2 linked regions of the Struthio camelus genome follow. The protein of the gene in region 1 purifies or fractionates together with the protein of each later gene. This does not show direct contact. Links are inferred from orthologs where the notes say so. Each region holds a gene or a part of one and is shown on either strand. Other genes may lie near its edges.

Region 1 (7,543 bases):
ACTCACTGCTTGCCATACGTGGGGGGAAAAAAGCCAGGAGCACATGAAAATGATGCAACTACCAAAGCAGAATGGATAATACCCCCCAAAACGCCAATACCTAATCAGATTGCAAAAAATACAGAGTGCTTAAGATTCCATAAGAAATCAAGTTAGATCTACGTAACTTGGGACTACATAAAAGAATGGTTTCAACAAAGCAGTACACCAGTCCACACTTTCAGTTGCTGTTATATAATTAATAAGTGAAATTAAGTCATAAGAGACAGATTTGGTCAAATTTCCATAGTTTCTGGATCCCACAGCACATAATTAGCAAGCAAAAAAACTTCACTTTACCTCTCTAACTATCAATAGCTGAATATTACCCAAATATACACGCAGATAGGGGAAAAGGAATTAAATGATCTTAACACATGCTGAAAGTTAAGGTGCGCCACATCTACAGTCAGCCAAAATTTTATCATCAAAAAACAGGACTGGAACTTTCTAAAGGTACTTTCTCTAAAAATATTCTTAACATGGACACAGTCAAACCTAAACCCTTCTAAACCAAGTCAGGCTCTTGAGCAATGCTTGAGATTTGCAGTAAGTTCTCTGATGAGCTCTTTCTTATTCTTCCTTTTTTGCTTAGCCATCTTTGCTCTACTGCACATTCACAGCCTCAGGATGAGTGTACCACAGATACAATATGGTATTTTCAATTAAAATACACTCTACAACAGAAGTAGTCAGAATATTCCTTACTACTTTATAAGAAACATTCCCAACCTTTAACTCACCCTTCAGGATGCAGAAAACACCAAATTCTCTTTCTTGAGCTCTGCCTTTAGGAAGGAAGGGATAAGCTATGCATACTGATTCTTACGTTCTAAAGAAAGCAGATTACATCCAGGATAAGGAAATTGCAAAAAAGTACCCAAGTGGGACAGAACGGTAAGTAAAAAAAAAAAAAATGCTCAAGGACAAAAAAAAAAAAACAGGAACAGAGAAAAAGCTAAGTCTCAAAACCCCTTTCTAGACCTGCCACTAAAATAGGCCAGCAGAGAAAAGGATAGAACATTCATTTCTGTTGCAACATTTTCTCCAAGGCTTCTCAGAAGTTATTACCTTTCAGTTGAAAAAACAAAGGCTACTGAATTGGTACCACCCCAGGTGCCCCACAGTATATATTTCATTAGACTAAAAGCTGCTTCTTCTCCACCCTCTACCCCACTGTAATAACTTGAAATAATCATTACAACGATACAGTCCTAGAGGTAAAGCACTCTGTATTCACAAGCCCAACACTCTGAATTCACAGTTCTAGCTCGGCACAAAGCTAAACATCCATTTTAGAAGTCAGTTACTCAGTCTCACATCCAACACAATTTATATACTTTACTAATTTAACCTACTCAGATGACCCTTTGATACAAGAGCAGAGATAACCAATCTCAAAAAATGGTATCAATATCAACATAAACAAACACTGTCTGCTGCAGATGGCGATTACACCAATTAATCCCTCCACAAAGCACATTGGTGGAACATCCAGTCTAAAAATCTGATCACCTAAATACTCCAACTCTGTAACTTTGCAATGCAACAAAAGCTTTTAAGGCTTTTATTTCCCCCTCTTTCTAATTTGAGCTAACAATCCTTGGTGAATTATTCATACTTCTCAACTTACATTGTTCAGCAGCCCTCTTTCTGCCCCCCCACTCCCTTTTTTTTTTAAAGCTTAAGCTTCCAAGGCTCTAAAAAAACCTTCCCTTTCTGAACAAAACCAGAACATAAAATAAAAATCAAAGTTTCAGTGGCCATCTTAAAAAATAAAAATAAAAAATGCCTAACAACTTATTTTTAGGAACAAGTACAGAAACCCATAGTCGTTGTCAGCAAATGACCATTAAAACACGTTCAGACTTTCCACAGCATTTGAACCAAATTGATAAATCTTCCTTTTGCCACTCTGGCCTTAACCAACACCCCCCCCCCCTTTTTTTTTTTTAAGGCCCTCTTATAATTACTTATGCAAGCACATTTAATTCACCATCCTACAGAAAACAAGACAAACCAGAACACCGAAGAACTAATCGGGATGCGTTTATTGCGGGGGCCACCGAGGGTCCTTAGCACATCCAAGGACTCGGGCGTGCCCCCTTCACCTCCAGGCCGGCCCGAAGGCCCGGACCCGCAGCAGAGCCGCCGGCCGGACCGCGCCGGGCCGGGCCGGGCCGGGATTTCGTTGCAGTCGGTGAGAGCCGCCAGCCCGCCCGCCCGCTTCGGCCCGGCAGCGGAACGAGGAGCCGCACACAATGCGCCGAGCGTAACTGCCGCCGGGTTCGGCGCAGCGGCCGAACAACGAGCAGCCGGAGGCACAAAGCCGCGCGCCTCGCCGGGGCCCAGCAGGCGCCCCCAGGGCGAACCTCGGGCGGCCAGACCCCCCCCCCCCGTCCCCGGGGCCGGCGCCCGCCGCCCGCGCCGCTCCCCCCGCCGACAAAATGGCGACGTGGACAGCGAGGAGAAGGAGGAATGAAAGAGTGAGGCGCTCTCCGCGGAGACGGGCTGAAGAACGGGGAGAGGGGGAACGCGGGGCGGCCGGGGGAGGGGGGAGAGAGAGAAAAGGGGGAAGAAGAGGGGAAACGGGGGACGGCGGGAGCGATAACAGCGCGGGGAGGAGGGGGGGTGCCCGGGGGGCAGAAGAAAGGGGAGGATGGAGAGCGGCGAGGGGAGGCGGCTCCGCGCGAAGGATGGCGAGAGGGGGACGGGCAGAGCCGGGCCGCGGGGCCGCGGGCCGGGCTGGCCGCCGGGCGGGCAGGCGGCGGCGGCCGGTTACCTTTTCTTGTCGCTGACGCCGCCGGGGCTCTCCATGGCGGCCGCCTTGGCTTCTCCTCCCGCTCGCTCGCTCGCTCGCTCGCTCTCACAACGCGAGGCGGGCGGCTCCAATGGCCGCCGAGGGGCGCGGAGATGGCGGCGCGGCCGGGAAGGGGCCGGGTCTGGGGCGGCGCGGGCTCAAAGCATCGGGGCAGGCTCCGGGGCCTGCGGCGAGGTGCGGCCGGCGCGGGGCGCAGCGGCGGCGGCTGTGGGAGGCGGGCGGCGCGGGGCTCGCCGAAACGGAGACGGCGGCGGCGGGGGCTGGGGGCGGGCTCGGCCGGCCCGGACCCAGCGCTGCGCCAGTGAGGAGCCGCGGCGGAGCCCGGCCCCCCTGGGCCGGCGGGGTCAGCTGAGCAAACAGCTGGGCGGGGGCCGGCGCTTCACGTGGAGGGCTGTGTGCGGGGCGGGGCGGGCCGCGCCGGCCTCCATCATGTCGCCCCGGCCTCCCCTCCGAGCTCCCCGCCTCGCCGCGGCCCCGGGCGCAGGCGGGCTCTTCCCCGCGCCGCCCTCGCCGGCTGCCGCTGGCCCCGCTCGTTTTAACCTCACGAGGGAAGTCTGCCTGTTGTGTCGTATCCTTCCCCCTCCTCCCCCCCGCTCCCACCCCGGCGCCGTCGCCGCGGGGGTGTGTTTTGGCGTTTCCAACGCGGTTCTGGCCGTGCCCTACCTACCGACCTTCCCCCCCGCCCAGGGAGCCCCCAAACCGGGGCTGCCCCCGCTGTGCCCCGCACCGGCCCGCTCGGGCCAGCCGCCAGCTCCCCGCGCGGCGTGCACGGCGGGCCTGCGTCTCCTCCGCCGCGTTTCCTACGCGCCGCGACCAGCAGTCACTGGTGGGACTCGCTAATCCGCCCTATAGCGCACGCACGCACAAAACCGCCCCAAATCACGCTGCGGTCCCTGCCGTTGTACTGGCACGGTCGCACGTTTATTGCCCTATCCACCTCTTTGTAGCGAGAAACCTGTCCAGTTCCTAACTCCTTCCCGTTTCCCGAAGGTTTGCTAGCAACGCGACCAGGCCGTATCAAGCGAATGCGTTGAAAGACGCAGATCAATTAAAGAGAATAAGCACATCGTGGGGTGGGCCAGAGGGACAGATACAACTTAAAAAAAAAAAAAGAGAAGAAGAAGAAAAAAGCCAAGCGGCCTTCCCGGCTGGGAGGCTGAACAGGCCGTGCGGAGCACCTATATGCCTCTATCCGAAGCTGAGAAAGCGCACGCTACTTCAACAGGCACCAAAAAGGATGCAGGGTTTAGGGGGGTTTTTTGTTTTTTTTTTGTTTTGTTTTTTTTACAAGGCACTTACTTACAATCAAAGTGAGACAAACACAGAAGCCCCGGCCGGAATACAATGCCACAGCTTTGCTGTCAGAGAGATTAACGTAGGAAAAGCTTCATGGAGGAGCCTTACATAAACACGGCGATAGAGACACTCGCAAGTAACCTCCAGGACAGACCGAGGCAGCGCACCGGCGAGCCGCAGCTGGGCCGGCGCGGAGGGAGGAAAGTCACGGCCAGAGTCCACGCATTTAAAATTAGAGGCTCCCCAGCAACATTAGCTATGGTGCCTTAGTCATCTACTTTTCCGGTTCTGTGGAGTAGGTGAAGGTGCAGTTCAAAGTGAAGGGACTCTAGAGCTTGGAGATTACTTCATGTCTGGTAGGCTTCCTCCAACAAGAAGTTAAGTGATCCTAAAGAGGTGAACCATACGACGCTGTTCAGTTCATAGCGCAAAGGTAATGATACCCTTTAAAAATAAGCTTTGACAGGCACAGGTAACAACCCTGCACTGCTGTATGCATTTATAATGTTGTAAGAAACACCTGCAGGGCAAAACGATGTCGTTTCAGGACTGTATCTCGCTAACATTTCTGCAGTGGGGTCTGAACTTTCACATAACAAACAGTCATTTTTGCATACAACCGTGGGGGTTTTTTGTAATTTCTTTTGAAGAAAAGGCAATGACCGTGACATTTAATAGAAATCACAGAGAGTTTCTATGTGAAATGAATTGCTCCTGCCTGCCGCAATCTGATACACAGAAGAGACACATGTGCTACAGACTCCCTTTATCCCTTTAAGGTTTCGCATGCAAATACAGACAAAGGCCAGCTTTGCTTAGCTTATGAGAAGTGACAACACGATAGCCCGTGGCAGTGTGGCTGTAGACTGCTGATATTTTTGTTGTTCTGCTCAGTGGAGCCTCAAGAAGAGAAATAATCAGAGCAAGACTCAAACTCAGGTCTCCTGCATAAACACCAAGAAGCCCCGCACAAGCGCTCGTGGACACATCGTATTTGAAAATGAGGTACAGCCGGTTCAAGCGCAGGGACGCAGTCGCTCGCGCGCAGCAACCTCGCGCTGTTTTAGCACGGTCGCAAAGCCACCGTGACGGCCCCTAAGGAATTCTCCTGGTGAAACGGCGGATCTCCTGGCAGGTGCCGAAATCTCACTCCCAGCTCGGTGCCTCCCCCGACCCCCCTGCAGAGCCCCTGCCCCAGGGACGCAGCGGGGGAGTTTCGGCAGCGAAGTGCTGCTAATAGAGGTGCTTGCTGCACCGCAGAGGGGGCCGGCAGGTCATGCTGAGCAGCCTTTGCAGCGTCTCTAACCCGCGCATGAGGAGGAAGGGGTCCGCACACAGGAGCGAAAGCCTCCGTTGCACTTCCACTGCAGTCCTTCCACTAACCTCTTATCCCTTCATCTTCTAAAGGGAGCTAAGTGCGAGCACCGATGTGATCCCAGGCCAGGACAGCCTAGCGGTAAAGCTACAGACCTCAGCTCGTCCTACCCAATGGGCTCTTATTTTCAATCCTCCAACCACTCATTTTATTAACAATTAATTTTGGTGCCCATAAATAGTGACATCTTAGGATTCACTTGTACACCTTTATTGCCATTATCTAAATTTACATACTGCGCAATACACTGAAACAGTTCCTCATTGAATAGTCTCATGCTAGGTTGTGATCATTTTAATTAATACAGGCACGAAGGCTCTGGAAGTGTTAGCAATCCCAGAGTAAAAGACGCTACAGAAAAATCTCAGTATACAAATTACTAACACTGCTCAAGTTAATTGTTCAAGGCTTTCGAGCTTCCCAGCATGAACTGGCTGAGGAGCTGTGAGTAAGCATTGTGGTCTCCTTACTAGGCACATTTCTCTCATACCGAACATGGTTACTCCAACCCGTAATAAAGAATTCTGCATCAAAAACCAGTAGTGTTTCAGGATGATGTTACTGGAAATTCATTCCACGATTAAACATTTTGTACTGTAGCAGCTCTGGAGAGATATTAAGCAAAAGTTCCCTTCCCTTCACCCTCCCCTTACTGAACTTTTGAGTCACTCCTCTAATATTCTGCATATATTTTCTTTCCCGTCTTGCCAGTGCCTGACAAGAGAAACTTATTACAGTAGGTAATGCCTTAGTCACTTTGTTTGACCTTTATTGGTGTACTAAGTTCATACTCTAACTTACGTTAAGACAACTTCCTGTATTAAATAGTGTTTGCATATGACTAATTGGGACAAATTCACAGCCAGCAAGACGATGAGTCAGCAAAAGGCTCAGCGAAGACAGCAGAAGGAATCCAGCAGCAGCACAGATCCACATGAAGATGCGAGATACGCTACTGCCCATGGCTTCAGATCTGTCTGCTGATAGGTGAAACACTGCCAGGACGGGCACGGTACACATTAGCTGTCTCAGGACCCAATCCCATCCCCATCAAAATTCAGTGGCAAAACTTCTGCTAACTTCAGTGGGAATAAGACCAGGGCCTGCATTTTTCTCAAGCATCTTCTCTGCTAAGAGCACTTCAAGTTTCTGAGCTTGGACTTACCAGGTGGAGGATTTTAGCAAGAAGTAAGGACTCCTTCCATTTAAGTCACTTGGTTTGGTGACTCCTGGGACGCCTCTGCAACAACCCCCTGCAGCACTGGCTTCCCTGGGCTTTTACTTGGCAGTACAACCCATTAAGATTAGGAAATTAATATTTATTGATTCAGTAAATAAGCACAGTTCTAAAGGGGAAGGGAAGCGCACAAACCAATCTAATGATATTTGACCACAAAACATGCCATACGTACAGCACCCCTGTAGAATCATTTACTTGAAAAAAAAAGTGCCCTCAAGTCTCTATGGCTGTGCAGACCCTTGGCTCCTTTACGGACTGCCAATAATCTAATGTGGCTTCTTATTTGTAACAATGCAAGAACCTGAGATCTCTGATCATCAACTCATTTCACAATAGAAAGGTGGTTTATTGTTGTATCCATCATTATTGATTGAATTCCAACTAAAATGCTTGGTTTGAACCAAACCAGTGGTCACCAAAACAGTGAAAAGTGAATGCCGCTGTTTCTCAAATGTGAAATTTTGTCTGAAACAAGAGTATGTGATGAGAGACAATATCTCTCTTTGGCAACTGTGATTTCCACTGGTCTCTTCTGATTTGTAGAGCTTCTCCTCTGCTTCTTAGGCCAGGATCTTGTTTCTTCTTCTTCTCCCCTTTGCAAAATCAAAATAATGTTTTTAAACGATGAGCACCTTTTAAAGCTTGCTTGTCAGAGTGCATTTAGGCATTTGGAAAGACTCTAGTCACCTTGATTTCTGCACAGAAAAGTGCCCCAGTGGAGGTAACACATTCTGCAGTATAGTAAAAGCACTAAGTCCAATTCAGCATAATT
Region 2 (7,152 bases), on another chromosome or scaffold:
AGGTGCTCACTCCTAACTAACTGGAGAACCTCATACTTAAACTAGAGAAGTGACTGAAGAAAAGGAGAATACAATCCAGTAAAGCAAAAGATTGTTCTGAATGTTATTTACACCCTCCATAGGGCATGCTGCTTCTCAAGGTTTTGAATTATTTACTCACCTCCATCATCTAATCACTGAATAAAATTCTGACTCTGGGCAGAGAGAAATTCTGCTCACTTCATCCCTTCAGGCTGACAGTGAACAAGTGGAAAAGACAGTGATAAGAATTACTAAACGCTCCAGGACTCATGAGATTTCTGAATAGTAGGAAAAAAAGAATACAGGAGCATATATCAAGAACAGCTATGTAGCTGAAGACCCCTGTTTACATTAATTTCTAGGCAGCAGAAGATTCTGTTAAAACTTCCACAGTGGCTGTAACGCCCCGTAAGGCAATACCTACAAAGGGAAATCCCTCAGCTAGCAGAATTAGAGACAAAAGTAGTACATCTACCCACAAAGTAAGGCAGTAAACACTAAAGATTGCTTGCACATTCACAAACCACCGGTTTGTTATGCCTTTTTAGGAGAATTTTTGTTTGTACAGAGTTCTATGGTGCACTAGAAGATACCAGCTTTGCAATTTACTACTGCAAAGCACACAAACTTACTGCCAAGAAGTAGCTTAGAGCTCCAGCAACATTAAATAAAAGCTCATTTTTTAGTTAAAGAGTTATTTATTACTGCACCTGTGTACCAGTTCTGTATTACCATCCATTCTCATTTCAGAAGAAACTGGGCCAGGCCTTAAGTTTCTGGAAACCACTGCAACCTAGCCAGCATAGCCATGGTACTTCAATATAAACACACCATGTCACACGGCATGTTAAAAGACTATTGACTGAGCCAAAAGATAAGTATATTTAGAAGTAATTATTTTACCACAATTTGAAAAGCAGTATAAAACTAGCAGGAGCAACTTTACTAACTTGTTTTGTAATACTGCAATTTCTTGGCTTCTCAATGCTGTTTTACATATTAGGAAAGTCCCTTCCACCCTCATTAAAAAAAAAGATATGAAAAAAGACATAAATTGAGCTCTGAAACTATTTTTGCTATTAATTAGTAGGTGAGAGCAAAAGGAAGAAAGCTTATTTACTATGAGTAACTGAAAACATCCTAAGAAGAAGTATCAAGTTAACTACTACTCAGACTGTTTTCCTTACAGAGAAAGTAGCTTGCAATAACTTCTCCAAAAGGGATACTTCAGCACAGGTGGTGGTAGATGGCAGCAGTAAAGACTGAAGAAATGCTACAGTTAGCAAGCGCATACAGTAGACTTGACCAACACAGATAATCCCAACAGACATACAGCACCTTACACGCCCTGACCTGCTTAACAGTGAGTAACTGTAATTTTTGCCAGTACAGCTTTATTCCAGCTGCCAAAAGATGCACCTTCCCTATAAGAGATCTGATCTACTTTTAAGTAACTAGTTAGAAGATGTCCTCAAAAGCCACAGACACAAACGTGACAAGCATCTAACACAGTTGGCAGGAAGTGCTAGCATAGCAGAGGACTACGTTCAGTTAACTGCTAAATTTGTAATATAGAATTTGCAGGACAGGGGCATTCTCTTCATGAAACCTGAAGATCAGACAGCCTCCTTGCATGCTTTGCTCACGTAACAGTGCTGCAGACAGTAAAACATGATTAATAAAATTAGGGATTGCATTTATCAGAAGCAGATTAGCCTGGCTTTTTGCAACCTCTAGTCAGTCTACCTCTTTATAGAAGGAGCGTCTTTGGATATAAAGGTACACAAGGTTTGTGTGTGTGGTTTTTTTTTTGTTAAAAAAAAAAAAACCCACTACTTTCTCACCCTTACTATACCAAAGGCATCTACAAATGCAAAAGGAGTGCTATGGTATAATACTGCTACTTAATGCAACAGCAAACAGTGGCAAAAGTTGGCATTTAAGTATAAGGCTTTATAATGGAACAAAGAGAGTATTAACAAAAATACAGAGTGAACTGAGGGGCAGACAAGTCCATTCTCAAAGCCATGACCTGAAAGGACAACGTTACTCTGCAAAGTGCTCGTCACGCTTTGAGAACGCTTTATAAGGGAGAACCCCCTGAATTCATCCCAAACCTCACTTAAATACATAAACATATATAACTCATCTCTTCAGAGATAAAAACGCGTTACTAGCACTTGCTTGACTCCTACTTGAGTTTTCTTTTTTAAGGGGAACAAGAGTTATTCCAACACGCTCTATATCGCGTGAGAGTATGACCGTTGGTCTCCCCAGCTCCAAACGCGCCTCGGTTGCCGCTGGGAGCCGACCGGGAGGGCTCAGGAAGGCGGCAGCGGCCTGCGGGCTGACAGCGGCAGCGCCGAGCGCAGGGAGCCGGTCGGCGGCCTCGCCTGCGCCCTCGCCCGCCAAGGCCGCCGGGGCCCGGGCGCTCGCCGCCGGCTGCTCACCCACAGCGAGCAGCGGGGCCTTCGCTGCGCCGCAGAGAAGCGCCAGCCCCGACTCTCCCTCTGCGGGTGACGGCGCAGCCGGCAGAGCAGCCCCGGGCGGCGGCGGCGGCCGGAGGGGGGGGGGGGAGGGGGCGAACGTCGCCGCCGCCGGGGAGGGGCCGCGGGCAGCCCCAGGCGCCCCCGCGCGCTCGGCCGTTGCCCGAGGCCGCGTCACGTGCCCGACGCGGGGGGTGGGGGGGGAGGAGGGGGCACGCGCCAGCCGCCGCGGGGACAACAACCGCCCCCCGCCCGCGCGCGCGCGCGGCCCAACGGCCCTGGCGCGCGGGCCCGTCGCCCCCTCAGCTCAGCTCAGCTCAGCCGCGCCCGCCCGCAGGCCCCGCGCCCGCAGGCCTCGGCGCGCCCCCTCACCGGCGGTGCCGAGCAGCAGCAGGAGGCAGGCGGAGCAGCGCGGCAGGCGGAGCGGCCCCCGCGGCGACCAGCGCGGCTCCATGCTCCCGGCGGCGGCAGGCGGAGGGGTTGCGTGAGGCGGCGAGGGGAGAGCGGCGGGGAGGGGGGGATGCCTAGAAGCGGGCGGGCGCGGCAAAAGCGTCGCCGTCGGTCATGTGAGGGGATGGGCGGGGCTGTTTGCGCTCCGCCAATCGCCGCGCCCGCCCGGCTCGATTCCATGGCTCTCGGGCGAGGCGCGCGCCGCGCCTCCTCGGGCGGGCGGCGGGGGGGGGGGGGGGTTTGGGTCCGGGTGTTGCCTCAGGGGCTGGGGGCCATTTTCCTGCCACACGCCGGGTGGCAGCGCGGTGCCCGGCCGATCCCCCTGTAAGACCCTATTTCCACTTCGTATAGCTCTACTCTTTAATTTGTGTCAGCTTGGACTCGGGTTTTCCTTGAAAAAGGCCTGCTCTTGGCTAAATCTCCTTTTTTTCTTTTTTCTCCTTTTCTCTCTCTTTTTTTTCCCTGCTCTTCTTCTATTTCTCCATCCCTTCTCTCCTTCTCATCATATTTGAACCTTTTCCATGAGTAAGGCTGAGGGAAAACAAGTTTTGCATCCAATAAACAAAAATCTGCTGACCTTTCTTTCCTTGGGTGAACTCTAGCATTTCCATGTTGTGCAACAGGGACTTGGCAAGGAGGGGCCCTCTGAGCCAGAGACGCGGTGTTTCCTGTTCCTCTGACCGTCCGCTGCAGACTTCACAGTGCTGAAGATTTCTGGTGTGAACATGCTCAGAAGGGGCTTTGAAGATTTCAGTGGCCGAGCTCCTCTCAGATTTCGTCATCTTTCACCATTGTTGAACAAGAGAGAATCCAGCAAGAGTTAGGGGCACAGAAATACGTTATAAGAGGAAAGCTTGAAAGACTTTTTAAACACAGAAATGCCATCTCTGGCTCAGAACGCCCCTGACCGGCCTATTGTTCAAAGCTGGCATTGTGTAACAAAGAAGTAGCGCTATATATTTACTCTCTTCTTATAGTCTTCCCTGCATGTCCACTATTGGCTACTGCAGAAACAGGTTATGAGGCATTTACTTTGACCTCATACAGCCGTTCTGAAGTTAACTGGGCTCTTTTTAGGTTAAGAAGAAAAAGCTGAGAGAAGATACACTAAGAAAAAATTATACTTTTAATATAGAGACTTCCACTGGAAAAAAAATAAAGGAATAAACTATTTTCCATGTTTACAATAAATAGGATGGGAGAGAAATGGGCTAAAATGACAACAAATATTTACGTTAGATAGTGGGGAAGGACTAGTAGAGCTTTGCACTAGATTCGCATGCCAGATTGTGTTTTTTTAAAAAACAGGTTAGACAAACTTCCTTCAGGAAATTATTCTGTTGTAGGGCAGAGGTGGACTTAGATAGTCTCCCAATGTCCCTGCCCGCTCTAATCTCTGTGATTCTGTTATCCATCATTTCACATTACCCAGGGCTAATCAGAGATTATACCACACCTTTGCAGAAGTAGGCCCATTCTCTGCCCCTTCCTAGCTCTTCTTGTGTGTGAGCAGAATTCACATGTACCGTGCCTACTAAATGACTGGCTAGAAATCTTTCCAGTAATTGCTTCTGTTAAGGAGGGTGGAGTTTGGCATTAGCAGCAAGAACTGGGAGGCTTTGCTGCATTTGCACTAATGCCTAAGTGCAAGACAGAAAGAAGAAGGCAGGAGAAAGAAGCTGCCAGATGCAAGTGCAGGAGAAAACACACGATAGGGTAGATGGGAAGGGGAAGAAGACAAGAGTGGACATGAAACCTGGTGAATCTGAGACTGGATGGAGATATAAAATCAGCTGGAAGTTGAATTGAAGGTTGGAGGGTATTGATCAGAAACAGACACAAAGGTTGTCTTGGCACAGAAACCATGGTTAAGAGATGGGAAAGAAGAGACTGACACTGGGAGACAGCGAGGAGAACGGCAGGAGGATTCTCAGCTGCCTGAGGAAACAGGAGCTCTAGATTCAGTAAGGGCAGGCCCTACTGGAATAAGATATGTGTGTTTCTCTAGGAAAACCGCAAATGGTATTTGACTAACCAGGATCTAAGAGATATACCCAGTGATGCAGGAAGAGAATGAAAGCTCTTGAAGAGGACAATGAAACACTTCAACCTGGTATCGTGAGACAGAGTCTTAAGATAAGGCATAAAGGTGGTGTAGACAAGAGGACGAGCATAAAGTCTTGAGGAAGTTGAAATAATGCAATGTATGAGTATATGGTAATTAAATAGTCTAAGTTATGTACTTGTAATGCTGTACTTTTCCAAAGAATATCACAAAACAAAATCTGGCAAGGCTAGAACACCACTGAAACCAGTGAATTTTACAAACGGGGCTTCCACCCACAAGTGCTTGTGTGTTTTTTTTTTTTTTAATTCAGCCTTTGGGCTTAATTTACTGAAAACTTATCTGAGGAAATAAAATTTATGTTTAATACTTGAGCCATTGTTTGTTGTAGGCCGTGGGGGAGCTTCGAGTGTAGATGGAATGGCATAGATAATGGCATAGATGAAAGCACTAATCCTGAAAGTAGCAAGTCTTTGGGCTTTCAGCTCTAGGGCAAAAAATGGGGCAGTTGAAAGGCTAGGGAGAGTCCCATCTCCCATGCTTTTACATATCCTCATGCTTTGTTGTTTTAGTGAAATGGAACATGGTCACAATAGATCTTGTTCTTAAAGAGTGATCGTTCAGGCAGGAACTCCATTGAAAGGTTTTAAATATTAGGATAGCGACACTGAATTAGGCTTTAACTAACGGGAGCAGGAGAAAATGGGTGATATGTTCTAGGCAGTTGGTGTGCAGCAATGTCGTGTTTTGTGTCAGCTGGAACGTTTACTTCAGGACATGAGCTTTATTTATAAACACTAGTGTCTTGAATATCCCTTACTTCTGATAATATTCTGATCTCTTGCCGGTACCTTAGAAATGGACTGTAACATGACTAGACAATCTGCAGAAGTGAAAGGAAGAGTGATTCCTTGTTTCCATTGTGCCAGCTTAGTGAAGTGTGAAATGAAATCAAATGGTAGATACAGTAACAAGCAAATCTGTTCCTAATAAATTACACAGAGTCAGATTAGCGACTGGTGTAGGACTAAAAGGCTAGTATAGTGCATATAATCTAGCATGATGTAAAATATATTATTTTGCACCAGAAATATCGTTGATATCACAACTGTTAAAGACTGTCCCTAGCTACAATGTGGGCAGTGATGAGGCAGCCATGAAAGGAATCTCTATACGTTTCTGCCCTTCCGAGAGGAGTCCTTGGGAAGACTCCAAAGGGTGAAACTGTACCTGGAGTGAGTGGGTGCAAGCACTTTTCATTCACATGAGGGGTGGAGTTTGTCCAGCAAAACCCACATGCTTCAGCTATCTGAATGTGGTGATTATCCGTTAAAGATATGTTTGTGATTCTTAAAAACAATGCACTCCTGCATTAGCACAGTAATACTCTCCTCTTGCCTAGCCTGATAACAGAAGCTTGGTTTTGGCAGTATTCTCCCTACAAGGCCAATTTTTGGGCAGTTTCCAAAGCCTGTCTTCTCTTCGTAGTTCTCCAAGGAACAACATAAATCTGTGTTCCTCTCCCTTTTTCAACAAATCCTCCAGCTTTCCTTAGAAAGGATTGTACTGGCTGTGATCAGGTGTTATCTGATTCCTCTTAAATTCCATGAAAAGCAAATATACTCAGTACTTGTAGGATTCAATCTCTAACAAATATCCATAGCATCTTATTTATCATGAGTAAGTTCCTTGTTGACTATTGTGGTCTTAAAGATGACAGCATTTATGTGGGAGTGGGACTTCTGTAACAAAGAGCAAACTCTTAACGATCAGCTGCTTTCCTTGGATGACAAAAGTGCGAATGATTGCTAGTATGATGCAGAAAAAATGCCTTAGCCTTTTGCCTACTGGGGGGATAGGATTTTTTATTTGGCATAATTGTGGGAGCCACTGATAGATGGTAAAGCTGGTCCTGTTTTTCTAAGACGCTCCTTGCAGTTACTGCTGGATTTGAAAATGAGGACTGTAATGTCACTGTATCACATTACATTTTTACTGCCTGGTATACTTAGCTTGATGTCAGGAGTTTCAACAACATGTACTGAGGACAGATATGCGATACCTATGTGATTTCTTTTGTAAGCTTCAGTTCAGCGAGGAATATAAATTCATGCCTAATTTCAGATGTAT

What was found. The genes of interacting proteins can lie anywhere in the genome.
Region 2: the proteins of HIF1A (region 1) and LAMP2 purify together in Homo sapiens (affinity purification with western blotting; 3 studies listed by BioGRID). This does not show direct contact. The link is inferred for Struthio camelus from reciprocal best matches to the Homo sapiens genes HIF1A and LAMP2.

The regions. Positions count from the first base shown.
Region 1 is NC_090946.1:76,628,000-76,635,542, forward strand, and holds the start of HIF1A (hypoxia-inducible factor 1-alpha), read right to left. Parts: upstream 3,085-7,543; 5' UTR 2,857-3,084; coding exon 2,822-2,856; intron 2,526-2,821; exon of another isoform or gene 2,226-2,525; intron 1,133-2,225; exon of another isoform or gene 783-1,132; intron 1-782.
Region 2 is NC_090952.1:11,884,230-11,891,381, reverse strand, and holds the start of LAMP2 (lysosome-associated membrane glycoprotein 2), read right to left. Parts: upstream 3,075-7,152; 5' UTR 2,962-3,074; coding exon 2,880-2,961; intron 1-2,879. UniProt on the Homo sapiens protein: Lysosomal membrane glycoprotein which plays an important role in lysosome biogenesis, lysosomal pH regulation and autophagy.